2 linked regions of the Lytechinus pictus genome follow. The protein of the gene in region 1 purifies or fractionates together with the protein of each later gene. This does not show direct contact. Links are inferred from orthologs where the notes say so. Each region holds a gene or a part of one and is shown on either strand. Other genes may lie near its edges.

Region 1 (16,461 bases):
TTTTCATGATACAAATAGCCAAGAACTTCATATATAATTTAATACAATATGCTGAAATTTCTACTGACATTCTAAAATTTGAGATATCAAATGGAAGCTCAGAGAGAAACATTTTAATGGCATTGTATTTTCATTTTCAAAATTAAACTCATTCATGTTGTCTGCCCATCATAGCAGGTAATTTACAGGACCACCTGCAGCAGTTTCTGATCAGACATTCAATATCCGCAGTGGGAACGCCGGACTGGTCATTGATATACCAACCCGGAGCAGACCATCTTGGTCTGACCTGCGACTTTCTACTATATATTTCCTTTTCATGACTGCCTTGCCTACAGTGTCACCCAGCATACAGCAGGCATTGAGCATTGTGAGTGCTTAGCATTGCGACTGGCAGGAATACATTCCTGGGGGCCGTTGCAAAGGAGTTACCATTATGGTAACTTTGCCATCCAATGGTAACTTGCATGGGGACAATGGTCAACAGCCAATCAGAATCAAGGATTCCATGGAAGTAAGCACTGGGTGGCAAAGTTACCGTAATAGTAACAGGACCCCAGGAGTGGAGAATGTGCAGAGTTCATACATGAGAAACACTGTAGCCAAGTATATAACATTGAATTGTAAAGAAGACATGAATGTGTAAATAATATGATATTAGAAATGAATTCATATAGTGAATCCTTCCCCAAGGAGTGGATAGTCCCAAAGAAGTAAAGAAGGAGAGTATGTGTGCAGACAAGAAAACAAGTGATGAGTAGGAATGATAGTAAAATATGTAATTTGGATTGACTGATTTACAAAACATGGGATTGACATGCAGTATTATGAAAGTGGAACATAATCATTATGGGGGTGGTAGTCCCACAAACTTACCATCTACAACAACCTTCCAGAACTGAGCCACTTTTGATGAATCCTGGAAGACCAATGCTAGCAACATATCACACACTGGATGGACAATAGGATGACTTATCATGGTGGATTTCTGGAAAATGAATAAAATTCAAAAGGAGGTTCACGAGTAATAAGCTTTTGACTTGTGACTCTTTGAATTTTGAAATGAGAGATTATCAGTAAACCATCATGTTGCAATGCCAAACAAGTATGCAGATAACTAACAATGAGTTTTTGATATTAAAGGAAACCAAAATCCAAGAGAATCTTATTGGAAAGAGTAAAATGAGAGGAACAATTCAAAACAAGTTTCATGAAAATCGGTTATGAAATAAGTGATTAAACTAGGAGTGATTTTCACTATTGATTGCATTGGTCAAATGTATAATCAATTGTATAATAATACTAATTAATGATATAGACTTTAAGAGCACAGAAACTTTTCACTAAAGTATTATTCTACTACACTACATAAGACTCCTAAAATTCTCAAAATGAATCATGAAAATCAAATATACAATCTATAGTTTGAACCCAGTCATTCTACATACTGTAAGAATCTGGATGATGTGGGTGAAGTTGCTTGGGTGAACCAGATCAACATGGCCATAGTGATTCTGAAGAAACTTGGATTTCACAACGTCCTAGAATGAAACACAAAAAAGGCAGCACTCCTCAGATTTAAATCAAATTGGAAACAGCATCAGCATTGTACATGAACAATTTATTTGTTATTATTGTCACTGTTATTCAATTATTATTTCTTATTCATTTAATTATAATGGAGTTCAGAAGGTAAATAAGTTTTCATGTCACATTACCAATATATTATGAGCTGCCATAGATCAAAACCTTGGGAAAGATTAGTGAAAACTTGAGGAAAGGCAGACAGGGAGAAGGTTAATAAAGACGTTGTATTTCAGACCTCTCTATTTTCCTGGCAATGAAGAGCCAAAATAAACATCAAAATTTTCACTAGCCTTACCAAGAACATGACTGCAGTGAAAGATCAAATCAACTTTTAAATATAAAAAATATTTATTTATCTATGACTGGTCGATAATCAACTAGATTCTGTGATAATAGGGGCATGCAAATAATTAGAATATAACAAATATCTTGGGGACTTACTGGAAACTTTTGTCTGCAGACCATGAGAAGGGCCAAATTATTGGGTGAGATATCCTCCCATCCTTGCTTCAAATCAGACTTCAGCATAGGCCATATGTGATCAGAGAATAGCTCGGCCGATGACTAAAGGGTTTGGAATACAAACATTGCACAATTATATTCCGTTCATGTGTATTGCATAACGTCTTCATGAGCTTTGACAGTACTTAAGATATTATTACCCTGGCCTTAGCCCGGCAACATTTTAGAGTGCACAAGCATTTCAAGGAATTAATTCCTACATATCAGGAAACTCCTGTAAATTATAAGAATTTATTTAAGCATCATAATACCCAATAATTTATTTTATGCAATCTCCCCTGCTTCAAGTTCTCATACATGTAATTCCACAATCTATAACTCCCTGGAAAATTTAAGCATACAATTTATAAAAAAAAACACCACATGAATATTAGGGATGTTTATCTTAAATTCTCATACATGTATTTATTAAATTTCATCTTACTTTCAGACAGGGAGACTTAACTCTGGTGGTACATAGAATTCATGCACACATAAATAAAAAAAAATCTTTATTCTATACGACTACATTACAAAATATAAATTCTATGCACTGAATACAATTAACAAGTAAATAGGTCAATAATATCTTTTCTCCATTTTTGAGTGGTAGTTCAGGCCTAAAAAATATTGAGGCTGCAAGAGCTGTTCAACAAGAACTTCTCTCTCAACTACATCAATAGTACTTACTCTCTTGATAAGGTCAATGACTCCTTGAAGACAAATCAATTGCAGATATGACTTCTGTTTTGACAAGGCATGTAGCTGCTCTAGGACGTACACAGAATCCGCTCCATTGTGCTGAAGATCAATCATATATTCATACATTACTTTGCAACCCCTACTCCCTTTTCAACTACCTTTTGCCATGGATGCACTGGGGTAAATATCACGTCGCTATTGTGTTGGAGGTCACATTGTGAGGTCAAAGGTCATTTGAAGTCAGACATTCAAGTTTACCAGCAATACTTTCTTGTGCAATCAAACTTGGTTAGGGATGCACTTGTGGAAACCTTCATGTTAAGTAGTCACAAGTTGGCAAGACACAATCTGGCTATTGCCTTGTTCTTGATTAATTCAAATCAACATTTTGTAAGAGGCAAACTTGACCTTTAAGCAATATGTACCTATTTTTCTTAAATAGAAGGGATAAAGCAGACTTGTCTACTTGTATACACACCTTGTTGAGTCTCCCACTCTGGATGACAGCAAGATAGGCAAAGACTTGACCAAAAGCATACTCCTTTTCTTCCTGTTTGTTGCATATAAAATATTTACAAATGAGATGAATCTTCAAAATAAAGTTATGATCTGAACTTAAATAACAAAATATATCAGTAAATGATGTGGGCTTAAATCACATCACTACTACTTTTTTTTTTTAATGATGCAAAAATGAAAATTATCAATGCTTTTTTCATTGATATTGCTGATAGTCCTAGCAAAGCTGGCTTGCGAGTTTTGTATCCTGCCTAAAGAAGAAACAAATCAAAATACACATCTGAAATGGAAACTTAACCCTTTGATTTGCCTGTGGGAATAAAAAGTGCTTTCCAGTAATGTTTGATCAACATTTTCACCCATTTTCATTCTTTGTCCTTGCTAACATGCAAATAAAGTAAAGATGTATAGATTTTATTTTTAAAAAATACTGCCAAATACATGGACATTACAGGGAAGCATGCCCCTCCCACTTCTGAAACCAAAATAAGAAAATAAATCAGAAAATGGGTAGAATTTCAAATAACATTTCGCATGCTGTTTATTTCATAGATCAAAAGGTGCTCCAGGGATTACCAGGTTTTAATTTTGAAGATTAAATACATTTTATAAGATATTATTTAGGAGTGTGTCACAGATACCATATCCACCAAGCTCGCTTCATGTCTTCTTGGCTTACCATACGACAATTGATCATTAGGTTTGCATGTTATCAAACAGCCTATAAGTGAGGAAATGGTAATGCTTACACTCTTCTTTCCAGACACCTGAAGTTCTTGCTTCATAAGTTTGAATACATCTTCCAAAGCTATCTCTTTCACCTTACAAAGTAACTGAAAAAAGGAGACAAAACATAAAAACAAGGTCAAGTCCATCCCAGCAAAAAAAAAAAATCATATGAGAGAGAAAAAAGAATAAATGACATTTGCAGTTTTGTGTTAAGCCACAAGGTAGGCACATCATGGATGATATGAAAATGAGAGTTGACAATGTCATGCAATCACCAGTTTTTAATTCATGAAATAAGAAACATTGTGAGTTTTTGACATATGACAATAAACAAAAATTGAATTCCAAGTGGGTTTAAACTTTCTTATATTTCATCAAATTTTCATGGAATTATCATTGTAAGGCTTGTTTCATCTTTTTAATCTCTTTTATTCATATCAATGTATTGTAGAGGTGGGCTTGTTTTTAAAAAAGGATGAACAAGAAATACAGAAATGATAAAATTACAGATTCTAAAGCACTGGGCTTGCAGGGCAATTTTGGATGTAATACCCATTTACAGGTATCGCCCATCACCAAAATGAAATGTATTTATGTGATCAATATGCAATGCTCTGCATATTTCGCCCATTGTTTGGTATGGTGATGTGAATATCTCACTCTCCATGACCTGAAAATGCTTGAAGCCAGCAACAGAATGAAAGTTTGGTGCAATACAGCACAATTGGTTGAGGCTCATAGATCTCTGCAGTTGTATTTTGTGTATATACAGTGGTTGTAAAGGGGTACTACAGACCGACATTGATATCTGAATAAATGGAATAAAATTCAGCGCGAGCTTAACCTTCTTCTTCTTCTGGAAACAGTACAGTCCACCGTCTGGTGTATTGTCGTACTGGTGAAGTGCAGCGTGCAAGTGTATGTACATTATCCGATAAAAAATTGCTTACAGCGTAAATATTTCATTTATATCTGATAACATATAAGTTACCGTGTATTGAATTTTAAAGGTACAGTTTAATTTGTTTTCCCGGGGAATCTGACACCATCTGGATATATCCAGAATAGAACAAGATTTATGACCATCAGACGTTATGCAATGGCACTAGACATGCCTGATGGTCATTACCTCAACTTTCTCTGGTCAGACAGGATAGCGGAAGGATTTCTCACTGGTTCACCAAGTTTGCTTCCCAAAAGAGGATCCCGAAAGATTTCTCACTGGTACACCAAGTTTGCTTCCCAAAAAAGAGGATCCCGAAAGATATCTGAAATTTTGCTGGGACTACAACTCAAGTCATCAATCCCACCACCTCCCCTCCAATTTTTTTTTTTAATTAAAAATAATTGCAGCATTTGCCTTTGAAACTTACTTCAGTAAGGGCTATTGCATAACCCTGTCTAGCACCTTTCCTTGATGAAGCTAGACCTCGCACAAGTCTTCTCAGACTATATGATACCTCTGAACAGTACTCATCCTGGATAAAAGAAAAACAAAAACAGTTGATCTTTATAATATTGCATTGTGGTACAGAATACGTAGAGGATGTTAATGATTTTTCAAAACCGATTTCAAAATGTACCTGATAAATCGATCAGTTTGGCCATCTCAAGAATGAAGGAAAAGTTCTTGCAAAGGAATTTTGCTTATCGGTGTCAAACTGACAACAGAGGCCAGAAGAAAATTAATAGGAGAGAATCTCTGTGATGATCACAACTAGGCCCGAGTCATTGATTATTTTGTAAACCGGTGTTCGAAAGCTTCAATTCGATCAAAAATCGATGCATTGAATTTTGAAGGCGGGAAAATCAAATATTTTCATACATGTGGCCAGTGCAAGCCCCCCAGGAATAAAATCAATCCAATATCCAACAATTAGAGTTATCTAAAGGTAAAGTACTTGATCAAAGAAGGGAAAATGGCCATAATAATTGTGCAAAATGGTTGCAGTCAACTTATTTGAGCAAATGGGGGACCGAATCTTGTGCAACATTGTCAGCCTACAAAGAATGTGTTAAAGCCCTCTTTCGTGCATTCAAAAATAAAATAAAAATAAATCCCGCAAAACAGATGGGCACAAAAGCTTCCTCTCATCTCCTTACGAGTTTCCTAGAAAATCAGCTGCGACTAGAAAACGTAAACATGTTGACCATGATATGGATGTTGAAGCTGGTCCAACAGTGGCATCAGTTCTACATACATCGATGGAAGATAAGGATAATGAAATAGGTCAATTGCATACATCTTTTCAAGAGAAGACAGGTGAGCTTGATGCTGCAAGGATTAAACTTGAACAACTCTCCTCCCAGTAAAGTGAAAATCAAGACATCAGAACATGATGCAGATGTACAAGTCTTCTTGTCTGTCATCTTTCCAGCAATGTCTGGTCTTCTAAAAAAACAATACGGTGAGCATCTTCCTGGTGGGGTGCACTTCAGCCCCTCTCCAGACATGTATGATGTAACCAAAAGTGTTGCAAAGCATAACAAACTTGCCGAACGTGTCCTAGCATATGCCGACCATCTTCCGAGATCAAGGCCAAATTCGAATCACCAGAGTCAGGATGATTATGTTCTCATTGAACAAAACTGGTCAGTGGATCAACATGAAGGAGGAAAGAGACCGTCAGAGACTAATCAAGGAAGCTCGAAAAGATGCCAGGAAAATGAAGAAGGTATATGAGAACGGAGAGAAGCAATTGTCCAAAAACGAAATGATCTGCTCAAGGAGAAATTGAGAAAAGAAGCGAGGAAGGAAAAGCAAATAAGAGAAAAAGAGTTGATGACTCAGGATATAATCTTCTATGACCCGTGGCAGAGCAGAGATCAAGTTGAGCAATCCATGCTTTATATCATTTGATTTCCGGGTTTCGGAGCGTCGCGTGAATATGCATGAAATTGCCAAGTCTCGATAATTTTCGATCGATACTGGAGTAGCGATGCCACACAATCCCCTCATTTGCCAGACCCTATTCCAACAGTACACAAAACAGGGGTGGATGAAATGATGTCGAAATCCCTTTTTTCACCATTACATTGTTATATCTCAATAATATGATTGAAAATGTTTACCATTCAATGTTTGTTCCTTTTTTGACGAATAAATGTGATTAATTAGAGGAAATCCAGTTTTCTCACTTCATTTTTTTCCACCGTAGTTCATTTCACGAAGCATTTCTTGTCACTGGCTATCTACTTCCGGGTTATGAGGGTGACCTTTTTCAGCTTGATTTCAATGTTTTTCTTACCCACAATGCACTGCAACATGGCTTCTCTGGAAGGTAAGAACTTTGGCAACTTTTTCATAAGAAATTTCATATTTTTAAATACTTTTGGGGGGCTCTGGAACGGCAGATTTTGATAAACTCGAATTATAGGTGCGATTCAGAGCTGTTTAGCGCGAATAGTAGGGGTATCTTCAATGATGCAGCACTTTTTATCTTATTTGTTGAATCGCGGCGAATGACACCAAACTTGTAGTAGCCATTCAGAGCCACGAATTTTAGCGAAAGCGGTAAATTCAAGGGAAAGTCCCTTCTCAGATTCCGTAAATATCGCCCCCAGACGCGTCCGAGAACCCGGAAGTGTGTTAACGTGTAGTCCCACGTACTGAAAAATGTTGATTATGATGAAATATTGTGAAGAGTGCGATTTAATGTTTGTGTTTTGGTGAGAGTGGCCAATACTATTTATTAAATTGATAAAAAGTGAGATTATATTACTTTACAAATCTATGGCTGGGATGTGTGTGTGGGTTTGTGTTCATGATTTGCAGGGATGAATTAACAGTTAGTTATGATGACAAATGCTGCCCGTATTATCGTATGGCCATATGCATAAGTGGGTGTGACCAAGCCAGGCTGTCATGTGATGTCTTCACCCCCACTTTTTAATTTGGAGCCTGTATCCCTTGTTAATAAGAGTAAGACCCTACAAATAAAAAGCTTGATTCTAGTTTAGGTTTTTTTATTAAATGATAAATGCACAGATTTATTTATGTTATGACCCTTTTCTCTGCTTCATGTTTTTGTCAAGGCTAGACTATTTTTTTTTTCAAACCATGAATACTAAAGCCCTCCCCCTTATCTCTTCCTACACATGCTCTTATTCAATATTTGGGAACCTTTTACTCATGGTGCAAATAATTTTATTTCAAGGTATATTTTGCTTTTCTCCTTTACCTACTTTCCACCACAGCTGCATCATTTTTGCATTTTATTTTGCATACCCCGTGTCCCAAAAATAAATTTGCCAATTTGAAAACCGCATTATTTGCATGTTTTCAAGGGTGATCCACAGTATATGTTTGTATTTTGTATAAAGAATGAAAGTAAAAAATAAAAATAAAAAATGGCTATTAAAAATTATCTTTGCAAATTTTAATGATTATTTCTATATTAATTACTATTCTAGATTATCTTTTTGAAGTATGGCTTCAACACTGGCTCATTATAGAAGTTCAATGATGATACATTTAACAAAAAACAAAAAATCAGTGTGAAATACAAAATAAATTCTATTCCAGGGGCTGCGGAAACAGGGGGTTTGGGGCAGCCTTGGGGCGTTCAGCCCCGTCCTTCTTTTTCCCAAAATCGTGTACAAAAACAAAAAAATTCCCATCTGATTATGATTTTATGCATATTCACCCCGCACCCCCACTTTCAAAACCTTTCTGCGGCCCCGTCTTTATGATGCTAATCCATTTCTTCCCTACATCCATTAAAAGGTACAGAAAGCGCATCTCGCGCCAACGTTTCTCACGCTGATGTTCTAGATTTCGTGAAGCAGCAGAAGAATGTGACTGCAGTAGTTCAACACCTGAAGGGTATTTTTCAGGATAGGTTGCATAATGTTCCGGATAAGTCAATTGGTTCTGCCATTACAAGAGTGAAGGAAAAACTTCAACGTATGAAGAAGGATAAAGTAGCAGCTGCTCAAGAACGGAGAGACCTAATTCTAGCTCAGGAATTTCGCTTTCCAGTGGCGACGGAGAGTAAGAGGCACCCTAGAGGAGAGAATATATGCGATGATCACACACATTGCAAGTTTGAAGCAGGCACAGCCAAGATCTCCGGTGAACTGAAGCAACAGAGCACTCAACTCCAAAAGACAGAAAGTAAGTTGGAAGTAGAAAAAGCTTGCACGTCCAACCTTCGTGCCTCACTGAAGAGGACAAGGGAGCGAGAGAATTATTATCGAGGGAAATGCACGAAAATGAAACAGGATCAGAAAGATGAAGACAGTGAAAGAATAACAGAACTTGAGACCGAGATGGCGGAAATCAAAAAGGAAGAAGTCACTCTCAGAAGTGAAAATAAGGATTTAAAAGAGAGGATAGATTATCTCACCAACGAAACAATTCCAACGTTTGATGATGACAAGCGGTGTTTTAACACAGAACTAACCACCTGCGTCTATGATTTGGACAACCAAGTAGGTGTAACCAGAGTATGATTGAGAATCTAACAGGGAAGAAATGTGAGCGACTCCCTTCCAAGACGACTGTTGAGAATATGAACATTCAGCGTCTCTGTGTGGCTCAAAACCAGCTTGCGAATTTTCCTCAAAAGAAGACACCACCTTGTATACGGACGAGACCTCCAAATATGGCGAGAAGATATTGGGCTACCATGGATCCGACAGTGACAAGAGATATTACGTTTTGGGTCTGAGGGATATTGCTACCAAATCGGCTTCGGATACGCTTGATACGTTCAAGGAGCTATTACGAGACATTGACAAAGCAGCTGAAGGACGCACAGCGGGGCAAAAAATTCTGAAGAACATCAGGAACACCATGTCCGACAGGGCAGCCACGGAACTAAAGTGGCATGAGCTTCTGAGACTGCATCGGACAGAGGTGCTGCCCAATCTGATTGAAAACTGGGACAACCTCACTGCTGACGAGAGAGCACCACTGGAACAACTAACATCCTTCTGTGGGCTACACAGTCTGGTACAGTATGCTGAAGTGAGTGAGAAAGGTCTTTCTTCAGTGGAAAAAGAGCTGTTTGAGGGACAACAGCTAGGTGCTGCGTCCAAAGGATTTTCCTTCATGACAGTAACAGCGTCATCCGATTGATCAAGACATCCTCAAAGGCATTTGCTCATGGAGGCAACAAGCAATCCGGGATGCATGGTCCTTTCAAGGTATATTGTAAGGATTTCTTAAAGGCTCATCATATGAAGTCGCTTCCCTTGGTTCCCTTGAGAGGGAACAGGTTCAACATCCTGTTCTTCAATGCTGCGTACATCTTCTTCCTTTCGTCACAAATGAAAAGCTTCTTGGAAAGCTCCGTTGATGTGCCCAACAAGTTGCTCAAGAGTGTGAAGGCCGACCTAGAAGAGCCATACGTCTTGGCAGGGTGCAGGGCGCTTGGACTAATCAGCAAGCTGGTCACCACACCCCTTTGGAGGAGCCTAGAAGTCCAAGCACATATTAGATATCTATAGATATATATAGGAAGGTTCTAGACACCCTCAAGCAAGGGAGCGAAAGGCCAGAGGAATTCATGAGGGGACCTGAGTGATGTACATATCAGGGTTGAGGAAGACCCTATCTTTAAGTGCCTAGTAAAACCTAGTGAAAGTGATGGTCTCACACAAACAATTCTTCAGAATGCCCTTCCATCTTTGGCAAAGGTAATGAGCACTCATAGTGAATATCTGACAGAATTTGATGACTCCACAAGAGCAACGTCTACTAGCACAGACAAGCATAATAAGCATGCTTAGCGAGTCTTTGCATACCTTGATCACTTGATGAAGGTGAGACCAAATGCCACCCTGCTTGCAAATGAAGCAACCATTGTTTTCACTCAATGAAACATCCGAGTGGTTGCAACAGATGTCCAAGGAAGAGGCTGAAAAGGTGGTAGACGATGCAAGGAAGAAAGCAAGAGTGGTGCATCAAAATTTCAAGGAGAGTTCGTCAAAGATCATTGAGCAGAAGAGGAAAGGCTTGGAAAAGCAAAAGAAAAAGCAATTGAAAGAAGAAAACTTCAAGAGCTGGAGAAGTACACCACTGAGATCCAGTATTATGGTCTGTGGCAAAGCGAGCACGAAGTGGAGATGTTAGCGTCGCTTCACTCAAATTCTTCTAAGATCAATGCACTAAAGGCTCAGCTGAGATTTCGACAGTTTGTGCTAAGACAGACACCTCCCTCGCCAGACGTGTATCACTTCAGTTTGGAGAGGCTGCTCCTTCTCCTTTGAAGAACTGGCAAAGAATGTGAAGGAGCTGATAAAGGCGGCATTCTCCCTCCTTCAGCCAGCCAGGATGGTGACAAGCCTCTTCTTGTTGGAAAAAGGGTGAGAATTACCTCTGTCAGAAAAAGACTGTATACTAGAAATTTGAGAAGATATGCATTATTAAATCCAGAGAATGCAGCATCACATACTCTACGATTTCACAAATTAAAATATAAAATGAACAGATCTTGAATATGAACTGTAAAAAAAGTTTGATTTGTAAGTCCAATTATGCTGCATAATACATGTATGTATTATGCTTTAATACAAAAACACCTCATTTGTTATTCTTGCTGTACGATAATGTCAGCCCATTATGAATCCTGAATATTAAAACTGATTAACATAAGCTTATTTCATTGTATTAGTATGGGTAATCCAGATGAGTGTTAACCTGCTCTATTTATCAAGGCTTTTCAGGTATTATACTTTATTTCAGGTATGTAAATTCATCTACTTTTTTATGTTTCATATGATTTCATTTACTGAATATTTACATCAAATATCTATTCTATTTTGTACATTTTCAGTATGATTTGAGTATTTTGATATCAGTTATTTTGCTGTCAATATACATGTTTATATTGCAATAACATACTTTGGTACCATTTATTGTCTATTTGTTTCCTTATTTCAAATTATTATTTCACAATTTGCATTATGCAATTGTTATATTTTATATTATTGAATATTATTTCATTTTCTTTAGGTAAGTTGTGCATTTGCACTCTTACTATTCTATTATTTTGCCTTGAAAATCAATTTCTCATAAATGTAAAAGGAAAGAAAATGTATATAGGAAATGTACTCATCACATTTATTCCACCCTTATCCCCCCAGGTACAACATAAATTCAAAGATGCTGATGGAGATGAGAAAGAATTCATTGGTAGAGTATCAGCCAGGTCCCTGGCTACCCATCCTGGTATAACGCAACGTACGACGGTGACACATCAGTATACTCCTATCAGCTATTGGATGACTACGAGAAAGGAGACTTGAAGATATTATGCTAAACAAAGTGGATCAGAAGTAAACATTTCCATAATGTATCCCCTTGAAAACATGTACCTTACTGAATACAAAATATAGTGTAACTACAAACTACAAAGAGTACTAATTCATATCTGGTTGATATCTCTTTTACTTGCAGTATTGGCGTGTGGTGTCTCCCCTTATCTACTATTTCCTGCGTCAATTTCTTGTCAAACATCAATCCTTCAAGAGTACTTCCTCAGTCTTGGATACCAACTTAGTGTGAATTCTTTATCTGCTTTCTTGCTTCAAGCCGGCTTTGACTTCCCCTAGCAGTGTCCCTTTTTACAACATCTGTTACCCCCTCATCAGGTAAGGTATTATCATGAATTATTTTAACACTAATTATAAATATTATATAAATTTTGGTTGCATCATTTCTCTTTTTCCTTCTCCCAGCATCCAGTGTGGTGTCGTGCCTATTCTCCTCCTTGGACTGTCTTGGTCATGACGTGTTGGTCAATCCCTCAAGAGTACTTCCTCATCTTGGATACCAACTTAGTGTGAATTCTTCATCTGCTTTCTTGCTTCAAGCCGGCTTTGACTTCCCCTAGCAGTGTCCCTTTTTACAACATCTGTTACCCCCTCATCAGGTAAGGTATTATCATGAATTATTTTAACACTAATTATAAATATTATATAAATTTTGGTTGCATCATTTCTCTTTTTTTTTCCCCTCTCCCAGCATCCAGTGTGGTGTCGTGTCTATTCTCCTCCTTGGACTGTCTTGGTCATGACGTGTTGGTCAATCCCTCAGGAGTACTACCTCATCTTGGATACCAACTTAGTGTGAATTCTTCATCTGCTTTCTTGCTTCAAGCCGGCTTTGACTTCCCCTAGGGGTTTCATTTTTTACAACATCTGTTACCTCCTCATCAGGTAAGGTATTATCATGAATTTGTTTATCACTAATTACAGGGTGCGACATAAGCGCTTGCCCGATTGCCCGGGGCAAGTAAATGTTAGAGTCGGGCAAGTGTTTTGAAGCAAAATTCTCCTATAGAAATTATATATTAGAAAGATTTCCCATATTTCACCATCAAAATACAGAAAAGAAAAAGAGACAAAAAAAGCAATATCATTAATTTCTTTCAAAAAAGTTTATAAGTCATGATTCGAATTGCAAAATTTGCGCCATTTTCTGCAATAAACACACAGCTCAGAGACGTACACACACACACAGAATCAATGGCAGTCTAGCATACCTAGCTAGCTAGCGCCTAGTCCATACACGCAACCGATGCTTGTAGTTAAGTTTCTACGGAGTACGGTGCTGCACGAACAAAGTTTTCTCTGGAAGAAATCTCCCACAGAACTGTCAAAATTCACATTTCTTACCAATGAAAATTCTTGTAATGTCCATATTTCCTAAAAATTGGGGTAGCTCTGTCATTTGTAAGCAGTAAAAGGAGAAATTTTCACTTCTGTTATGCTTCAAAAAGATCGGGTTTCGAATGATCGTCTGTGTTGCACACACTGAAATACATTGTTTGACAGTCCCACATATGCATTTGTGTGTATGTTGATAAACGTGGTTTCTTTCGTAACTATTTTTTTTAGCCAAGGAAATTTATAAATTTTCTTCTTTATTTATGACTGGATAGATTGAGCTTTCTTTCTTTCTGCCTATCTTTCCTTCTTTTCTTTTCATTCTGTCCTTCTTTTGAATCTCTCTGTATTTCTTTAAATTTCCTTCCTTTTTTGTTCATTTTTTCTGTTACTATAGCTGTCATTCTTTTCTTTCTATCTTTTTTCTTTCTTCCTTCCATCCAACCTTTGTTTACCTCTTTCTTTAATCCTTCCTTCTTTTTCCCCTTCCTTTCATTCTTTCTGTCTTCCTTCCGTCCATCCATTCTTTACCTTTTCTTCCTGCCTTTTTTCTTCCTTACTTTCTTCATCACTTTCATTCTTTCTTTATTTCTTTCCTTCCTTCATTCCTTCCTTTCTTTTTGTCTTTCACTCTTTCCTTCTCCTTCCTTTCTGTCTTTCGTTCTTTTGATCTTTCTTTTTTTCATTCATCCTTTCTTTTCCTATTTTTTCTTTCTGCCTTCCTTCATTTCTGTCTGTCTTTCGTTTTATCTTTCTTTTTTTCCTTCCTTCCATCTACAGAGGGTCGTGTGTTCGAATCGTAGCCATGGCATATTTTCCTTCAGCAAGAAATTTATCCACACTGTGCTGCACTCGACCAGGTAAGGAGTAATTCCTTGCATGCACTGAGCGCCGGTGATGGTAGCTTGAGCTAAAGCCGGGGTAATAATAGCAGCGCTTTGTATCCTCTGGCAAAAAGCGCTTTACAAATCCAACTATTATTATTATTATTATTACCCTTATACCTTTTCTTTCTTCCTTCTTTCGATCCTTTCTCTCGTCTTCTTTCTTTCCCTTTTCCTTCCTTCCATCAATCCTTTACCTTTTCTTTCTTTCTTTTTACCTTTTTTCTTATTTTATTCTTTCCTTCCTTTCTCTTCCCCTCAGTTTTTTTCTCCCTATTTTTTTCTTTCCTTCCTTCTTTCTTCCGTTCTTTTTCTTTCCTTCTTTCTGATTTTCTTTTTTGTCTTTCGTTCTTTTTTTTTCATCCATCCTTCCATCTATCATACCTTTTCTTTCTTCCTTCTTTCCTTTCTCTTGTTTTCTTTCTTTCCATTTTCCTTCCTTCCATCAATCCTTTACCTTTTCTTTTTCTCTTTTCTTTCTTTCTTTTTAACTTTTTTCTTTTTTTATTTGTTTCTTTCTTTCCTTTCTCTTCCCCTCAGTTTTTTTTTTTCTTTCTTTTTTCTTTCCATCCTTTTTTCCCTTCCTCCTTCCTTTCTTTCCATCTTTCTCTTCCCCGCAGCCATTCTCTCTCTCTCTCTTTCTTTCTTTATATTTTTTTATTTCTTCGTCCTTTCTGTCTTTCTTTCATTCTCTCCCCCTCTCTTAATTTCTTTTTTTTTCTGGTTATTTTCAGTGATTTCCCCTTTTTTTATTGTGTCCTAGTCCCCTCCAAAATATATGGAAAATATATGAGATTAGGAAATTAATTAAAGAGCATATTGACCATATATTTGTCATGATGTTCAAGAAAAAAATCATTAAAAAAAAAGAAATACAACTACAAGGTACATCAGTAGTCATGTTGAAAAATGTATTTTTAAAGCCATCAATGGTGTGGTATGAACCATAAGGCTATAACTTGTTTTGAAGCAATAAAACTTTGTTTTGAAGGATTTTTTCGGGCAAGTGAAATCTATATTCGGGCAAGTATTTTCCAACTATTTGAAAATTTACTTGCCCGACTGGGCAAGTGCTTCAAAAAAGTTATGTAGCACCCTGCTAATTATAAATATCATTATAAATTTTGTTTGAACAATTCTCATCATATAAAATATATATATCATATATATAAGAATTCTCTCGTTAGGTTTGTTTTATGTATGTTTTTGAAAATGAAAAGCGAATGCAAATTGAACCAATTTGTACCAAATCGATACCAAACTTAATTCTGCATCTTCTGGCTCAGTCTCTCTTTAACAACTCTTCAACCTTTGTCCAGGCATTCCCCTTTTCTGTTCTGGTATCCGTTTGTCCTCCACTCCAGGTAAGTTACATGTTTGCAAGTCAGACCTGTTGCATGGTGTCTAAAACATGATTTTTTGAATCATTTTCATTGAAAATTTGCATGTATGAATGAATTATGTATTTAATATACATATACAGATAATTATGCCAGTTTTTATAAAAACATGAATGTAATACTTATCTGGAAGTTAGGATATGGTGGTATTATTTTAAAAATGCTTATGCATATAAAACAGTGTACTGTTGTACACAGCATGATTGACCGGAAGTTCACTGATTTTATCGCATATAATTAATATATTTAATCATTTGCATAATAATGATGGCAAAAATCACTGTTAATGGGTCAGACAGGAATAAATATTCCCTAAGAATGCTTGGGACAATAAAAACTGTTCATTTCTTTCCAGCATGGACTAAAAGTTAATGGAAAGCCAAACAGACATGAAAACTGTGCTATTGCCGAATTGGCGGCAGAAAATATGACCCCCTGTGGCTTATTACTTCAAAATTTCTTCAAAATTTAAATATGGTGTGGCATCACTAACTGGAGCCATCCGATCACAAACCAAGACCATT
Region 2 (16,775 bases), on another chromosome or scaffold:
ATCTATAAGGGATTTTGTCACATAGCTGCCCTCTTCATGGGGCTTCAGAGGAGTTGCCATTTTGAAGATCGGATCACTGTTCCTGTAATGAGAATCACCAGACTTCTATAAGACTAAACAAATTATGTCCAAGTAGTGAAAGCTAAGTACTACAAACGATAATTCTTTACGCATTATGGATACTGACATTCGCCTTCCACTTACAATTGGAATATCCAAGCTTGTTTGACAAGAAAAAAGTGATGTGAAGTTCCAACATAGAAATTTCTACAGGCTGAAAACGGTGTCCTGAAATCCATATCTCATGATTACAATGATGGATACTTGAATATTGAATAAATGAAGACCCAGATTTAGGTATGATTTGGCAGGAAGAATTATTCAGAAATCATATAGGTATGGCATAGAAAGTTAACACTCTTGGTTTGATGTTTGTTTTTATGCAAGCTTAAGTACAGACCCCTGAAAATATACATTAAATTGTAAAATCAATTGTAACATTAATCAATGGCAAATAATGCAAATGAAGTTAAAAACAATTGTAAAAACAGATTTTATGTTTACGTCACAGGGCCCTGGTTTCATAATACACATACCCAATGACTTTTCAATGATTTTCTCTGCAATCCATGCCATTCTTACCTTGTATAAAGAGGTATTGAAAGATCTAGGTGTTTCATGAGTAGTAACATCACATCATCACATCGTCCATGGATCTTTAGGGATGCTTGGCTGTCTTTGGGCGTCCACTGAAATGCAGGAAAATTTTGATAAATGATTAGGCTGCAATGTATTTTTGTAGGCCTATGCTTGAGAGCTAATTGCACATTTTTGAGCCATTGTTACAGTTCTTATTATGCTTACTTCAAAGAAAATAGTCATAACATTTCGGGGCGCTATATTTTCGCGTTCAGGAAGTATTATGCAAAGCGTTAAGGAGGCCATAATGGACCCCATTAGGATTAAAACCAACTTGAAATTATGGTGAACTTCAACACGCTTAGGAATGTTTCTTGCCCTCTCACCTGCAAATTGACAATGAATAACTTTGGTCTCTGACTCTTTGGTCGGTCTGTGTTCCAAAGGCACTGGTATCTTCTTAGAACCTGGAAAGACAATAATTTACCTCTGGTTTAATAACAAACTAACTGAGCTGCACAAATTTCTGAAAATCATTGACAGAGAAGCATGCTCCCATTCTATTCACTGCAACACTAGAGTGATTGATAAAATAATTTTGTTCACTTTATAATCCATGTATGCCATTGTAGTACAGTAATGACCTGACACTTGAACAACACCTTTATTTTAATAAATCAAGAGTTGCAACTTAGTCATACAAAGGTTATTAAGTAAAATCAAATGCATATAGTAAATGGTCTATGATTACAGTTCCGATTTATAGTCAGGACATGCACATCAGAGGAATCATCATCACCTCGTGTGGTAAGCCAATGACATTTGTGAAGTTAGGCAATGAAAGTGCACTATCTTGAGGTTTGTGAAGGAGCTCTCTACAAACGCTTTATACTTGAAACATGACACTAATACCTACAGACTGGATCCCAAACACAATATAGAATCAGTTCCCTCTGTAGCATCCATTGCACCGGGCCAGTTTAAGGGTTTGTCTACCACTCCCTTCTCACCAAAGTGCATTTACCTTTAGACTGGATCCCAAACACAGTATAGCATCTGCATCCTCAGCAGCATCCATGGCACCAGACCAGTTTAAGGGTTTGTCTACCACTCCCTTCTCCCCAAAGTGAACTATGGTGTCTCTTAGAGGTTCCTTGCACTTGTGGCAGTCCCGACTTGTCTTATGCCTCCGGAGCGATGTCTGTTCTGTAACATCAAACAGTCGCACGTATTGCCTCTCTGGCTCACATTCTGTGCAAACCTACAAATGAAAAGATGGAACATTCTAAAGACATCAAATTACTTCATAAGAAAATAGTTGACAGGAATATCATAGTTGTCAAGGGAAGTTAAACAAAAAAATAGAAACTAATCAATTTATGAAACAAATGTAATAAGAAATTAATATTTGACGATATATTTGCATATATAACAAATGAAATATAAACATTTTCAAATGCTTCCCACTGATTGACAAAAACTAGACATTATGCTTAGCTCAAGTAATCCAAGAAGTCACTCCCAATCAAATCAAGCATAGCTAGGAATATTGAGCAAAAACACAATTTCTTCTTGTAAAATATTGTGCCTGAACATGGTAAAATGTAGACAATAATAATATTTCATTACCCAGGGTGCACTATACTGCATTATTATAGAGTGCTTTAGGGACTTCTGATATAGCAAGTATATGAGTGATTTATACATTGTATGATGTAAAGCTGGTATAATGATCAACAGCATACCTCAATGTACATATTTCCATGGAGCTCAGATAACCTATCCGGAGGAACCCCACTCCTCAAGTGAAGACCATCACAGTTCTGGGATACAATGTGCTTCACCTGTAACAGGGTTGATACAAAAATAAATCAATGTTCAGCATTCATCAATGTTATGAATGTTGATTGTTAGGACCGTATTCTCAATTCAGGTTTAACTTAGGCCATGATCTATCTCTGTGTTAAAATTATGGGGAGCCAAAATTATCAAAACTTTGTTTACATTATATATTTCTAATATTTAATGTGCTCATTTGTTATGTTTTTATGATGAATAAAATTGTTTTAGTTACTACTTCCTAGTAGTTCTGAATTATTTGAGTGTCAATTAAGCTGATAAATTGAATCTGTAGGCCTACCTTCAGAGAATGTGTCACAATTGGCTATCCATTGTTAAACCTCAACTTTATACCAGAGTTTACATTAAACCTGATTTCAGAATTTGGGCCTCAGTGTTTGTGTTAATGTTGGTGTTACTTAATTACTTATGCAAAACTTTAGCATGACTTTACACACAACTTAACATGACAGAATTGAATTAAATCAAATTTATTAGCAACCTGGCATCCACAATGCTGGCATTTTTCTTCCAATGGATTAAAATTTACTTAAAGTGGATTTCATGTACACAACAAAAATGGATATAGCTATATAGATCACACTTTTAAAAAAGGCCATAGATGAAAAACACAGGTCTAGTAACATGATAAGGTCCTTTTACAAGATACCCCTCTGAAATTTTTGACAACTGTTAACATGATTTGGGACTTTTATCATATACCCTTCTGATTTTTTTTAAACTGGTAACATGATAATAAAGGGGCTTTTACGAGATACCACTCTGACATTGTTGACAAATAGACAACTTTGCATTTTAATTACTACAAGAATTTAAATCTGAAAGTTTAATATTGGATTTAAACTTTATCAAATGAAAATCAAAATGATTGATAATCTGTTTTGGCACCAAAGAACAGGTCATCGGGCATGTGTAAAGTTGTATGTGACGCTCCCAATTATGCCAAACCATTGGATAGCCAAAAGCTATAAAGGGCTGTACCGACTGCATAGAAATGTAAGCCCTATTAGAGCATTAATATCAGGCCCAGTCACACTTTCCGGATTGTGGATAAAATGTTGATCCAAGATGTAAATAACCCGTTAATAAGACATCAGGTATTGCTGCGACATTACCGGTTGTAACAGGGGCCTCTGTCAATCATGACATACCAATAAATCAATTAATAAAAAAAATAAGAAAAATCAATGAATGAATACATGCGGATTAGTCTCTGGACTTTAAAAGAGAGGGTTGTGGCTTGAATCCCAGCCATGGCATGATTCCCTTTAGCAAGAAATTGATCCACAATGTCCTGAACTCAAACAATGTGAGGTTAATGGGTACTTGCATGAATTTATTCCTTGAAACGCAGAGCATGTGACAGCTGCTCTGCTTAAGTCAAGGTAATTATGCCGCATTACTGTAGAGCGCAAAGAGATTTCTGTTAAAGTAAGTGATACGCACTATACAAACATGTATGATTATCATAATTATAATAATATATACATTAATTCATGAAGTCATTAATCCACTGATAAAAAAATTCAATATGAGAAGTAATACTAATTTAACCCTCAATCTCCCGGGGTATTTTGATTCTTGTCAATCCCGGGGGGGGGGGCCATTATGGCCCCCCCTTAAGATCTCGGCCGCCGATTGCGCGAGCGACGCAAAAATTTGCACACTGGTAGTGTGCAATGTAATCTGCAAGGCTGTATGGTAAAATTTTCCAAAATAATGAGATTTTATTTTATATGAATTAATTATGCTAATTTATGCATAAATCATACTTTTTGCTATAATTCACTAAATAAAGCTCCTAGAATGCTAATTTTTGGTAAAAAAATTCTTTGTAGCAATCTTAACAATCGCAATTAAAAAAACTTCGGTTCGGAAATCAATTTCTTATGTATTTTATTGTTTTATGAATTTCTTATGTATTTCTTTGTTTTTTTACTTTTTGTTTTTTATTGTTTTTTCAATGGAAATCATTCCAGACTTAGTTCTGATCATAAACAAGGCAAAATTAATTCAGTTTAATCAGTAAAACTAGAAATAATGATACATTTATGAATTTTGGCTAAATACACAATTTGCATTGGATTTGTACATGAAATCACGTTTATGAGCAATTTTGGGTCTGACATGCACTTACATAATGTTGCGTAATGTCGTAACCGTATACCCGGGCGTCACAAATTTGGTCTCAAAATTTGCGCGAGACTTGAAAGTAAAAAGTCAGTGAGCGGCGAGGTCAAAAAAATTTGCGCAGCAGATATATCGCGAAAATTGTCAAGGGGGGGGCCATTATGGCCCCCCCCCCCGGGAGAATTAGGGTTAACAAAGTGAATGCATGGATGAATAAATCATTATTGTAGTCATATAAGATTGGTATTAAGAGCTTACCATGCCTTCTTCCACCAGCTTGGCTAGAGCCATGTGAGTAAGGGTTGGATCTGCATCCACCAAAGAGCTGTTCCTGACAAACAAAACAGAAAGTAAGAAAGCTTTCTCAGCTACGAATTCAACACATGAAATAATAACAATCAAAATAATAATGTTGAATTTCACTATATATTCCAATGAGTGTATCCTGATGATCACATTCTGTAAACTGTTCAGATGTGTGTGCATAGTAATGACAACAATCAACACAAACATTATTTCTTAATTAGGCAATGTCGAAAAGCGATATACAATCCCAATCTATGATAATTAGAGCTTGATTCGAATACAATGAAATACATGGCCTTAATTAGCCTTGGATGTTTATATGCCCTTGCTTCTCTTCCCCATTTAGTATAAACAATTTTTTGGACATGTTTGGCATCACATGACTTAAACACAGTTTTAAACCATGGTTTTGATTATTAGAATTCTGAAAATGGCCAGGAAAAATCCTTTGGTGTCAAATTCATATCAAGCCAGATAAATAGCAGCATTACAGATTTATGTTTAGTATTTGGTGTTAATTGGTGTAGTGAATTATTTGGTGTAAAAACTAATGAGGTTTATCTTATGGTGTCAATTTGTGAAGTGTATAAGGTGTTAATTTGTGAAGTGTAGGCCTATTGTGTAATTAGTGAAGTGTGTTTGTGGTTTCAATTTGTGAAGTGTATGTGTAATTGGTTAAGAGGATTATATGGGGTTAATTTGTAAATTGCCTTATATGCAATTGGTGAAGTATGTCATATGGTGTTTCAAGTGTGTCAATTTGTGAAGGTGTAATTAGTGAAGAGTAAGCACTTTATTAGTGAAGTATATTATATGTTGTTTTAAGTGTACTGTATGGTGTCAATTTATAGTGTATAGTACTATAATGATTGGTGCAGTTCACAGAGTAAAAATATAAAAGAAAATACTGTTGTCTTACTGAAGTGAACTCCCTTTCCCTTGTTGAAGTAATGTCCATACTCCATTTGGTCCTCTGTAGTCGGGGATAGAGGCTGCCTGCCAAAATCATAATAAATTACACAAGAGGTTCAACACGCATGAAAAATTTGCCTAGAACAGATATATTCATGCTAAACAAAAACTGTACAAAATGAAAAGAAATTGAATATCACTCTTTTATGGATAATATGCTTTTCCACATAACTAATCATCATTTAGTCATATAGTGTTTTCTTTTTCAGATTTAGCCCCCTCCCTTGAAGGGTAAAAACATACACTTCTTTTCTATCTACTTATTCAAATCTTATTATTGGAGAAAACCTACCACTGCAGAGAGCCCATCTCCTAGACAAAATAAAATTATCAGAAAGCCACAATGTAACTCACATGGGTGGGCTATACGGCTATACATGTAAATGTGTTATGTATAGCCCCTACTTTTTATTTTTTAGGAAAACAGTCTGCTTAGAATGTACAATTTGGTTCTGTAATAAGGCCAATTTTGACACCTATCTTGCCCACCTCTTGTTGGATATCAAAACTTCTACCATCATTACTCACTGTACTAATTCCAGCTCCTGTGTAGATGACCAGGTTTTCTGCATGCTTTACTGCTTCTGCAAGCTCTGAAACCTTGATTTCTAGTTCTTCAGCAGAATCTTGAATCTTTGTAGAAAAAAAAATGTTAACTATTTCAAAGGGTCTCTTTAAAAAAAAAAGATCTGAAAGGGGGTGCTACATATCTAAAAATTCGAAAATTGAATCATGTAAAATTGGAATGGTACATACTCAAATATAATCATTAACCCTTTACAAAATCTCTCTCGAGGCTTTAATCATTACCCATACCAGTCCTTACACTCTAATTCCATCCATGTAGATTTTCAAACCTCTATACCTGATGATATAGGTCAAATCGACTTCTAGGGACTTTGGGTAAAAAATTCATCATGACCTCCAGCTGTAAAGAGTTCATTCATGACCTCCAGCTGTACACCAAGCTTAAAAACATAGTTTAAAAACATAAACCAGACAATGCCATGTGTTGACATTGGGATCTATTTCAGTTATTCAAGTCATTTCAGTATTTCAACCAGGGTTGACCAATGTCTCCATACCTCTTGCGATTTCTGACGATTAAGCTCCCTCAGTTGCGCCCTCTTTTCCAGAACCTTGACAACCTTTTTGTTTTGTTTGATGATGCATTCCTCCTCTGAACTCCTATCAGCCTGGTTCTTCTTCAGGATTGCCCTTACCTGGGATGATAATAAATTATTTCAATGTGAATTTTAAGCTGACCAACCGATTCAGGACAAACTGACCGAATTTGTGAACTGCCTCGATTGTGTTAGCTTTTGCGTCTGCTCCGAGAAAATCCGAACTTCTCGACAAGCATCAAGAAATCGCCAGTTTGCAAGCAGAGGTATCCAAATAAGTCTAATATGACATCAACCGAATTTATGGCATTTTAACCTCCATCTGATACAATTATCTTACCTTTGTAAGTGATTTATTTTCTAAAGCTTTGCGAAACGATCATGCACAAATTAAGCCTTTAGTTTAAGGTCACACTTTTTTATGACACATTTTCAGCCGAGCACGCACTAGTCGATCGTCATGGAATTTTGAGATCGCGATACCGGCGAAAGAAACACTTCGCCTACTTTATAATTCCGTCAAGCTAATTTGACTTTGGAATTGAATCTTGCCTTCCGTTTCGTATTTATGATTTTGATTAATGTAGTGTGAACTGTGAGAATTTTTTTGATTGAAAATAAACTTCATGATAAAAAAATGTGCGCAAATTATGGTCACCCCATCATACTGTATTAACTATTACCGAACATGTATTTTCTGTGGGAAAAGTTGAGAAATCAACAAAATGACAGTGCTAGTTATTATATCTTTATTTTTACTTTGAGGCCTGAGCCTCCGAGTCCGAGGCCCGTCAAGTTCAACTTCAAGTTCAACATGTTCAACAAACTTGAAAATGTGTTTTTGACCATTTTTCTTCATCGTTTTATTCAATCAAGTTCCCTTTGGAAGGATGTTGCAAGGTTTTAAGCATATTGAATTTTTTTTCGGATGCGTAAATGCGCGCGTTCATTCACTTTTGTCTAGAGGCTCGAGTGAGTCCGAGACTTGACAATCATGTGCGAGAAATTACGAGACCCCACACAGATGTTAACGAATGGGGCATGTGTCACGGGGAAAATTTGCTTTGCATAACTCACATTGATATTCTTTTCTATTTCACACCCTTACCTGACTTTCCTTTTCTTTCGCTTTATGTTTTTTGTAAAGGGCGGTCGTATGAGAAACTTTCCGACATTTTCTTGCTGGTCTATCTATTGCTAAAGACGATTTTCCAGACATTCCTCCGCTCAATTTGACCAACGGCGCGCAACTGAAATTTTCGATCATTTCAAAATAAGTCAACGAGACAAATTACGCACAAAAAGTAAGGAGCTAGTGCATACTGCATTTAAAATCTGAGACCTGTCGCATTAAGCTATGTCTGCAACCACCAATTTCTTCAAGACGGCTTCTGCTGAGGAATGGACAAAAGTTCTTAAACTCTACAACCATGTCTTGAATCTCAAGGCTTCTAAGATCCAGAAACCTGGTGGGAGCAAGAATTTGCTGGACCTTGACAAGTGGTAAAACGGGGTCGAGCGTCGAGGACTGAATCATCATCATCATGATTCACTGAGTGACAACACACAAATCAGATATCTGCTGATGATGATTTCCAGTCAGTCATCAGTCATGACAAGGGATATGGCCTGACGAACATGACGATTAGTTCTTATTAAGTTAGTTAGTGGTTGGGATATGAAATAGACTTTTGTTTCTATCAATTATCATAGTCAGCTAGGAATACAAAACAATTTTGATAATGAAGCCACACTGAAAAGTGTCAGCATAAAACAGGCTAATTTAGGGGAAAATATGGCACATTTTTTCGGGGAAGTTCAGGCTACTAGAAAAATGTGATCTGAATTGATTATTAACTTGTGTTTGGCATGTATGGAAAGAGAAAACTCGGGGGCTTCTTTTGACAGTAAGGACAAGTTTATATGGTCATTTTAAATAAGGATTTAGAGATAAATTGCAAACCCTTATTTTTGTGTGTGTTGAGATTGCCATTTCTCCATGCGTTTTCTATGGGAAAATGAAATTTCTGTTTTGCACAATTTTGTTCACTTTGTCGCAATTTTTCATTGTGATCTGGTTTTCAAATCTTTATAAAAATCATACCATCAGAAAGAGCATAAAAAATCCTATTGGACTCGATCTTTATGGACAAGTTTTTGGCATTAATAATAGATTTATAACAGCTCTCGGAAGCTAAAAATTTGGATTTGTGTGTGTCCATTTCTTAACTACACAGTCTATGGCAGAGAAATGCTGAAAATTTACCTAATTTCATTCTTCTTTTTTGAAGCCAATAATTGGATTTTTTTCAAAAATGTTACATTTCTGTCAGTCTGAAGGTCATTTCTCTTCAAATTCACAAAGAAAATGTGATATTTTCTTGAAATAAGAAAAATATTTTTTTTCTCCAGACACCCTATTAATAATAGACCTCTAAAATATAGTTTTGAATTAATGGCTTACCTTTAGAATCCAATGTCATGAATCAATTACAGATCTATGTGATATGATGGTGTGTGTGATGCCTCATTCGAAGACTAAATCCTTGCTCTCATAATCGATTATGACATTGGATTGTAAAGTTACTCCATAGTAATCCTCTAACAAATGTGTGAAATTAAACCGTATGAGAACCAAGAAAGAATTTTGAAAGATGAGCCAAAAAAAAGCCTAAAAAGTATCAGCGTGAGGCAGGCCTGATGCAGGAGTATCATTGTTGCCTATATATAGACCTATATCTGTTTCAAAGACACATTCTTCGGCTATTTTATGAATGTAATCCTTTCATCCCAGGCCTGTCTTGAATGGGGTTCGGTAAATTTACTAGGCATTTGCAGTCTGCAACCACCATATCGGTTCTCTTTGTTGAGTCTATAGATTATTAGCCATTTGCAATGTAGACAGTGATATTATCACTATTAATAACAGTTATGAGGCCCTAATGATAAATGCAAAACAATGATTTTTATATAAAACGAACAATAATACAGCTAGGTGATTGTGGTGATAAAGTGCCCTCTAAGATTTTTATTGTGGTGCAACAGTACAAGCACTTAAGGCTTGCAAAGTGCTTTTGCACAACATTGTAAATAACCAAGATCCATGCATGGCCATTAACAAGCTATTGTTTCATGTGAAAGGTCAACAATATTCTTGCCAGAATTTATTCAAGGAATAAAGGACCCATACTAATTTATAACCCTTGTGATGATGATGATGATCGATGGAAGTGATAATCAGGGGCGGATCCACAATTTCCAAAGGGGGGGACACATTTTTTCCCCAAGGAAAAATTTGACAAGCAAAAAAAAAAGGTTCTCCAAAAAAAAAAAGGATTTTTCATCCACGAAAAAATTTGACAAGCAAAAAAAAATCTTCACATTCAAATTTTAATCGTTCCTCTGAAAAGGAGGGAGGGGCACGGGCTGGCTTTGCCCCCCCCCCCTGGATCCCCCAGTGGGATAATGATAACAGTATTGATTATCAAAGGGGAATCAAACCCAAATAAAAAAAGTTTTCCTTAGAAGAGAAAGAAAAGCAGTTATATTTCAAAATTCAAATGATATTTTTCTTTAATGATGAGATTTTTAATGTGCTACCTTGGTTACATTTTTTTCACCTTGGTTATTTATTTTTATTACTGCCCTGGCACGGGAATAGGTACTTGGATTAAATTACAAATCCCTGATAATTAAGTGCATGGCCTATGGGAAGTTGTCCCTGCCACTTGTTATAATTTACTTATTCAGTTAATTTGAAATGTAATAGTCTTAGGGATATTGATTTTAAAACAGTTATAACTTTCTTATTACTTGCTCCATTTCTTACAAACTTTTACCAGTACTCTTTTACTTGTTTTTCTCCTCTCTCACATATTTTTATGACGAAGGTTAGATTTCCCTTTAATGATAATGATAATTATAATGAATAAAGATATAGCTAACATCAATGATGATGATATTGATGTTGATAATGGTAACATCAAATTTATAATAGGACAATAATTTATGTACAGTGTAGTCATTGTAATCATACAATTGTAGGTCTTACAGATTATACTCTGGCATTCTTTTTTAACTGACAAGTGAGTTATTGTCGTTGTTGTTGTTGTATACAGGTTTCAAACAGAACTTTCACAGTCAATACAAGGAAGGAAAGAAAGATACATCACACATGAGGAGTTAACAAAGCTTATGAAGTGGAAATTGAGTGTAAGTAAATTCTGTTACATTTACCAGGGATTGGAGACTTGGTGGCCCGTATTCTGAACTCGGGTTTAAATTAAACCCTGGTTTAAAGTTGTGGTTAAACTATGGAGAGCCAATTGGGGGACAAATCCCTAACGGTACAGTATATATTCCATTTATCAAATCATATGACACCCAAGTTGTTCATAATTGTCTGGGAATGATAACTGAAGTATTTTTCTTCATTATGAGAGCAAAAGAAAAAGAAATAGTAAACATGAGAAATATACAATATAAACAGATTTATTAAATTTGGCTTCCCATAATTTTAGCACAGAGTAGACCGTAGTCTAAGTTAAACCTGACTTCAGAATACGGGCCATTGGTTGGAAGGCACTTCTGCACTTTGGGTTATAGGATAACTCCCCAGCCCAATGCAAACTCTCCCAGAAGGACACTTTGCTATACTATATACTAGGCTGATGACTATTGGGTCCCAAGTACAACTGTTTTCCTTGTTTTTACATATAATTATTTCTGCTTTCGTGATATGAATTCTTCCAAACCACTACACCTGGATTTAGTGCGGCAAATATCAGTTGATGCCTTGTAGTTGTTTATAAACAGGGCCCTAAGTACAGAAAGAGACTTGTCCCTGGGACCTCAAGTTATGCTGTATGCTTAAGGATTTACATAAAGGAATTATATTGTTTGTTGCTGTTGTTGTTTGTGGGTTTTTGTTTCTTTTTTTTTTGCTGCTTTTGTTGCAATAACTAAAGAACCGCTTTGATATTTAAAGTGCATAGAATCATTACATTTGAGGTTATCCTTTATAGTAGCATCAAAACATTCTAATCGAACAAAGTATTCAAAGCTCAGGGGCTAGCCGCTAGCTAGAAACACCTATAGCTTGCTCCTCTATTTTGTTTTTTATCAGAATTTTCTGATGTCACTCATATTCTCAATTTTCTCTCGTTTCACCAGAGAGGAAAGTTCCGACCCAGATTGACTGAAATGGTCCAGACCAACAGCCCAGACCTTGTTGAGAAGTCTAGCCGACAAGCCTTCAAGAAGTTACCCAACGTGGGTGCTGCCATCAAAGAGTTGATTGTGCTAAAGGCAGTTGGTCCAGCAACAGCATCAGGTGGGTGTTTCATAAAGCTGTTTGTAAGTTAAAGTGATTGGTTAACTTTGGTTTGACTTTTAAAAAATCTGAGCTAGAAGGTCACACTTGTTACCTGTGTCTGTGATATGTTACAAAAATGAAGTCCAGAAAAAATTGCGTTCGAAAATAATTATTTAGTGCTTCAAAAATTGAAATATAAAGTGACCGAAAACATCATCTTAATTTCATCCCAAATGTGTACTATTTAGGCGTCTATAAGACGCCTATATATTTACAAAATCGGGGTTTGCCTTGTAGTTTTAGCTTTTCATTCTCAATAATGGTTGTTTTCAGGGTTTATTAGTTCTAATACATGCACTTGTACACATGTTTCATCTTGGTTTGAGAATTTTTTTAATCGGCTGCTCAGTAGTTAAACAATACCTTTAAGAACGCCTGGTGATCCTTTCTTATGGCAAATGGTATATTCATTAGAGATGGTTTTGCGCGTAAGGATCACCAGTCGTTCTTAAAGTCACTCTTAACTTACGAACAGCTTTATGAAACGGCCCCCAGGTATATCCCTAGTCCCCTGGATACTGTACGTTACAGTTCAAGGTAGAATCCTTGCTTGATGGGGGGTGGGTCTGCTCAAGGATCAGTGATGTTTGCACCTTTGCTCATCCTAACATCTCAAAATTAGTCCTTATAAGTAGTTTTATCAAAATCACGTTGCTGTTATTTTATTTTCAATGCTTTTATCTTCATTTTCAGTGTAGAGGGGTCACTATACAAACGGTATCAAATAATTGGATTTCCATGTTCAGGGTAGAAATGTTTGCCTGGTTGTGACGCCATTTAAAGTTTCAAAGCGTAGATCTTGTCATTTAGGTTGCATTTTAGATACATGAAGCATCAACCGGGGGTGTACTTGAGTCTATTGTATTGCAGTTGATTTAAATGTTGAGCAATATTACTTATTCCTATCCAAATGATTTAGCTGCTATAACAATCATTAACTTATGGAATATTAATTCATTTCAATTCTTTTCTTTTCTTTTTTTCTTGTCAGCCGTCTTAGCAGCAGGAGCCCCTGAACATGCCCCATTCATGGCAGATGAAAGTATGTTGCCTATTCCAGGCCTGTCCCCACTGGCTTACACTGAAGCTGCTTATAAAAGATATGCAGTAGAGGTTCAAGACTGTGTGAAGAGACTCAAAAAGGAAGGTAATGTACAATGGGAAGGAGATTGTGGAAAGAGAATGAATTTGAACAGTTAAAATCCCATGTGGATAGGGTGGATAGTTGACCAGTGGTATAAATGTTGCAGTGGGCTGAGATTTTAATAATGTGATGTTGTGTTCTGTAAAAAAAAAATTAAGTGGTTGAAGTGAGTGAGCTGAAAATTCGTATTTTTTTAATTGAATTTTTTGTCTCACCGGCATAGCAGAGTGAGACTATAGGCGCCGCTTTTCCGACGGCGGCGTCAACACCAAATCTTAACCGAAGGTTAAGTTTTTGAAATGACAGCATAACTTAGAAAGTATATGGACCCAGTTCATGAAACTTGGCCATAAGATTAATCAAGTATTACTGAACATCCTGCCTGAGTTTCAGGTCACATGACCAAGGTCAAATGTAATAGGGTCAATGAACTTTAATAGACCATGTTGGGGGAATCAACATCAAAATCTTAACCTAAGGCTAAGTTTTTGAAATGTCATCATAACTTAGAAAATATATGGACCTAGTTCATGAAACTTGGACATAAGGTTAATCAAGTATTACTGAACATCCTGCTTGAGTTTCAGGTCACATGACCTGATGACCAAGGTCTAAGGTCATTTAAGGTCAATGAACTTTGGCCATGTTGGGGGTATTTGTTGAATTACCATCATATCCCTGTAAGTGTTTTGGTCTAGTTCATAAAATGTGGAAATAAGAGTAACCAAGTATCATTTAACACCTTGTGCGAGTTTCAGGTCACATGACCAAGGTCAAAGGTCAATGGACTTTGGCCATATTGGGGGTATTTGTTGAATTACCATCATGACTCTGTAAGTATATTGGTCTAGTTCATAAAACTTGGACATAAGAGTCATCAAATATCACTGAACATTTCATGCGAGTTTCAGGTCACATGACCAAAGTCAAAGGTCATTGAACTTTGGCCATTTTAGAGGTTATTATTAGATTGCTGTCATTACTTTCAAAGTATATAGATATAGTGTATAAAATGTGGATATAGGGGTAATCAAGTATCACTGACAAGTTTTAGGTCACATGATCAAGGTCAAATGTCAATGAATGTAGTATTGTATCATTATATGAATGGTGTTTTTTGTGAATGATTATTTTATATTAGTTTTCAAAGTCAGCACTGCTGTTATTTTGAATCGCGTGATGCAGGTGAGACCGCCAGAGGCGTTCCACTTGTTTTTTCTACAAATCTTAGTACTTACAATGTACATTACTACCATGTAAAACATTGCTCTTAATCTAAATTTTGCCATTTCCTTATATTTCATCTGGAAATATGTATTCAAGCTTTTCTGTCTCCGCTCACTGGACATTTCCTATATTGTGCCATCTAATGTCGTGTTCACTGCCTATTCAACCTTGAATTATGTAATGTACCACCAAACAGTATGTTATATCTCCTCTTATAATTACTTTTTGTAGACTTCTGATTTGTTTTAATATGTACTTGAAACCACTGCATGTTTTACTTATTGGAGGAACTATATCCTGTTGTCTTCAATGAAGGCTCACCAATAATTTCAGATTTTTCATTTTAACATTCTTGCTGTCCAGATCCCTCCGGAGAGTGGACCCCGCATAAAGTGGAACTGGCCCTATGGACCCATTACATGGCTTGTAAGCTAGACCCCTCTGTACTCGAAACCAAAAATGGACCATCTAACAAGAGGAAGAGCACTGGAGATGGAGATGGGGATGAAGAAAAACCTAGAAAGAAATAAAATATTTGTTCCCATGGTCCTGCTTCAAAACATTCCCACAGTATCTAATCATGGTTACAATGCTGCTATAGGGGGATCTAAATTGTTACTTGCTTGTGTTAAAGCATTTTAACAGTACTTTGTACCTTGTATCTTAGTACGAACCCCACTCCGCGTGTTTCAGTTGCCTTCTGCAAGGAACTAATGCTGAGCAATGTTCCCTGCAGAAAGACCTGGGCCCCATTTCATAAAAGTTGTTACAATTTAAAGCTACTGAAATTCATCGATTTGATTGGCTGATAGTAAACTTGTAAAAAAATTGTGTATTTGTTATTGTAACAAGTCTTTATAAATCGGGACCCTGGTCCTGTCTTCTGTTGGCTTAAACCATCAGGGGGGTGTTTCACAAAGATTTAATTATGACTTAGAGTCGCACTTAAATGCCTAGTTGTGCGAGGTATAAAAGCCATGACCGCATTGGTGAGATCATGTAAAGAGGACGCGCACTATTGTATATTGATCAATTAGATTGCACGTTGCATTTAAGATACGCGTCGGCATTTAAGTGCGATTTAAGTCATACTTAAATCTTTGTGAAACACCCCCCTGGGCCTGTTAACAGAAAGGTTTACAATTAAACACAAGTATAAAAGAATGATTCCTGGTCAGTGTTTTAAATAAATGAACCTGATTAGCCAATAGTCATTAAGTATTGATTGTAAACCTTTATTTACATAGCCCTAGAATCATGATAGTGATGAATTTTACCAAAAAAATCTGTCTTTGTGAAAAAAAAAAGCATGAGATTTGTTTGGCTTCAAAGATAATTCATGATCAGTGGATTTTTCCCCCTCCAAATTTCTGACTTGTTCTTCAGTCAGTATTGAGTGCATCAAACAAAGATCAATAATTCAGAATGTTGCCAAATAATGAACATTTTGATGTGCCATGTGATTCACCCTTTTCTCTTGTCGGGTCTCTATACTAAAAGTCCTAATGGTCGTTTTGTGATAGAGGATCGCATATAACACTTCAGTACTATGAGCTCCATAGCACAAATATATACTATGTATTCAATGAGCCTTGTTGAAGTATTATGAATAATGATGACAGTTTGAACATGTCACAACAGGGAATCACACCAGTTATATTTTATAAGATCTTATGTATACCAAGCTTCAAATGTACATGTTTTTATTTGCTTTGATATCTCTAGAGTTTTTTTCATGAGAAATAATTGTTCTTTTGAATATTTTTTCTCATTTTTATAGCAAATTCCAAATATATCAAAAAATTATGCAAAATTTGATCTTCATTTGAAAATGCATTTACTACATGTATTTACTTTGGGTGTGAATTCAAGTCAGTATTATCTTCATAGAATTTATTTTGCTGCTGTTAAAATGTCTTTCCTAGAATGTTTGTCTTCCAATTTGTTCTGAAATACTGTGCTTTAAAACATTTCATCGTCATTCAACAAGCATTAAGTT

What was found.
Region 2: the proteins of myb-binding protein 1A-like protein (region 1) and NAD-dependent protein deacetylase sirtuin-7-like purify together in Homo sapiens (affinity purification with western blotting; 3 studies listed by BioGRID, with this or other methods). This does not show direct contact. The link is inferred for Lytechinus pictus from reciprocal best matches to the Homo sapiens genes MYBBP1A and SIRT7.

What each region holds. Positions count from the first base shown.
Region 1 is NC_087246.1:16,070,822-16,087,282, reverse strand, and holds the start of myb-binding protein 1A-like protein, read right to left. Parts: upstream 7,306-16,461; coding exon 7,291-7,305; intron 5,517-7,290; coding exon 5,412-5,516; intron 4,143-5,411; coding exon 4,059-4,142; intron 3,341-4,058; coding exon 3,269-3,340; intron 2,890-3,268; coding exon 2,779-2,889; intron 2,152-2,778; coding exon 2,029-2,151; intron 1,542-2,028; coding exon 1,449-1,541; intron 989-1,448; coding exon 877-988; intron 1-876. UniProt on the Homo sapiens protein: May activate or repress transcription via interactions with sequence specific DNA-binding proteins. Repression may be mediated at least in part by histone deacetylase activity (HDAC activity).
Region 2 is NC_087254.1:24,730,833-24,747,607, forward strand, and holds the start of NAD-dependent protein deacetylase sirtuin-7-like, read right to left. Parts: upstream 8,322-16,775; 5' UTR 8,299-8,321; coding exon 8,140-8,298; intron 7,131-8,139; coding exon 6,993-7,130; intron 6,541-6,992; coding exon 6,436-6,540; intron 5,932-6,435; coding exon 5,855-5,931; intron 4,961-5,854; coding exon 4,888-4,960; intron 2,484-4,887; coding exon 2,385-2,483; intron 1,901-2,384; coding exon 1,664-1,900; intron 1,107-1,663; coding exon 1,026-1,106; intron 750-1,025; coding exon 643-749; intron 83-642; coding exon 1-82. Other genes in the region: uncharacterized protein LOC129269347, read left to right, coding at 8,389-8,534, 11,150-11,243, 12,204-12,363, 13,397-13,552, 15,140-15,306. UniProt on the Homo sapiens protein: NAD-dependent protein-lysine deacylase that can act both as a deacetylase or deacylase (desuccinylase, depropionylase, deglutarylase and dedecanoylase), depending on the context. Specifically mediates deacetylation of histone H3 at 'Lys-18' (H3K18Ac).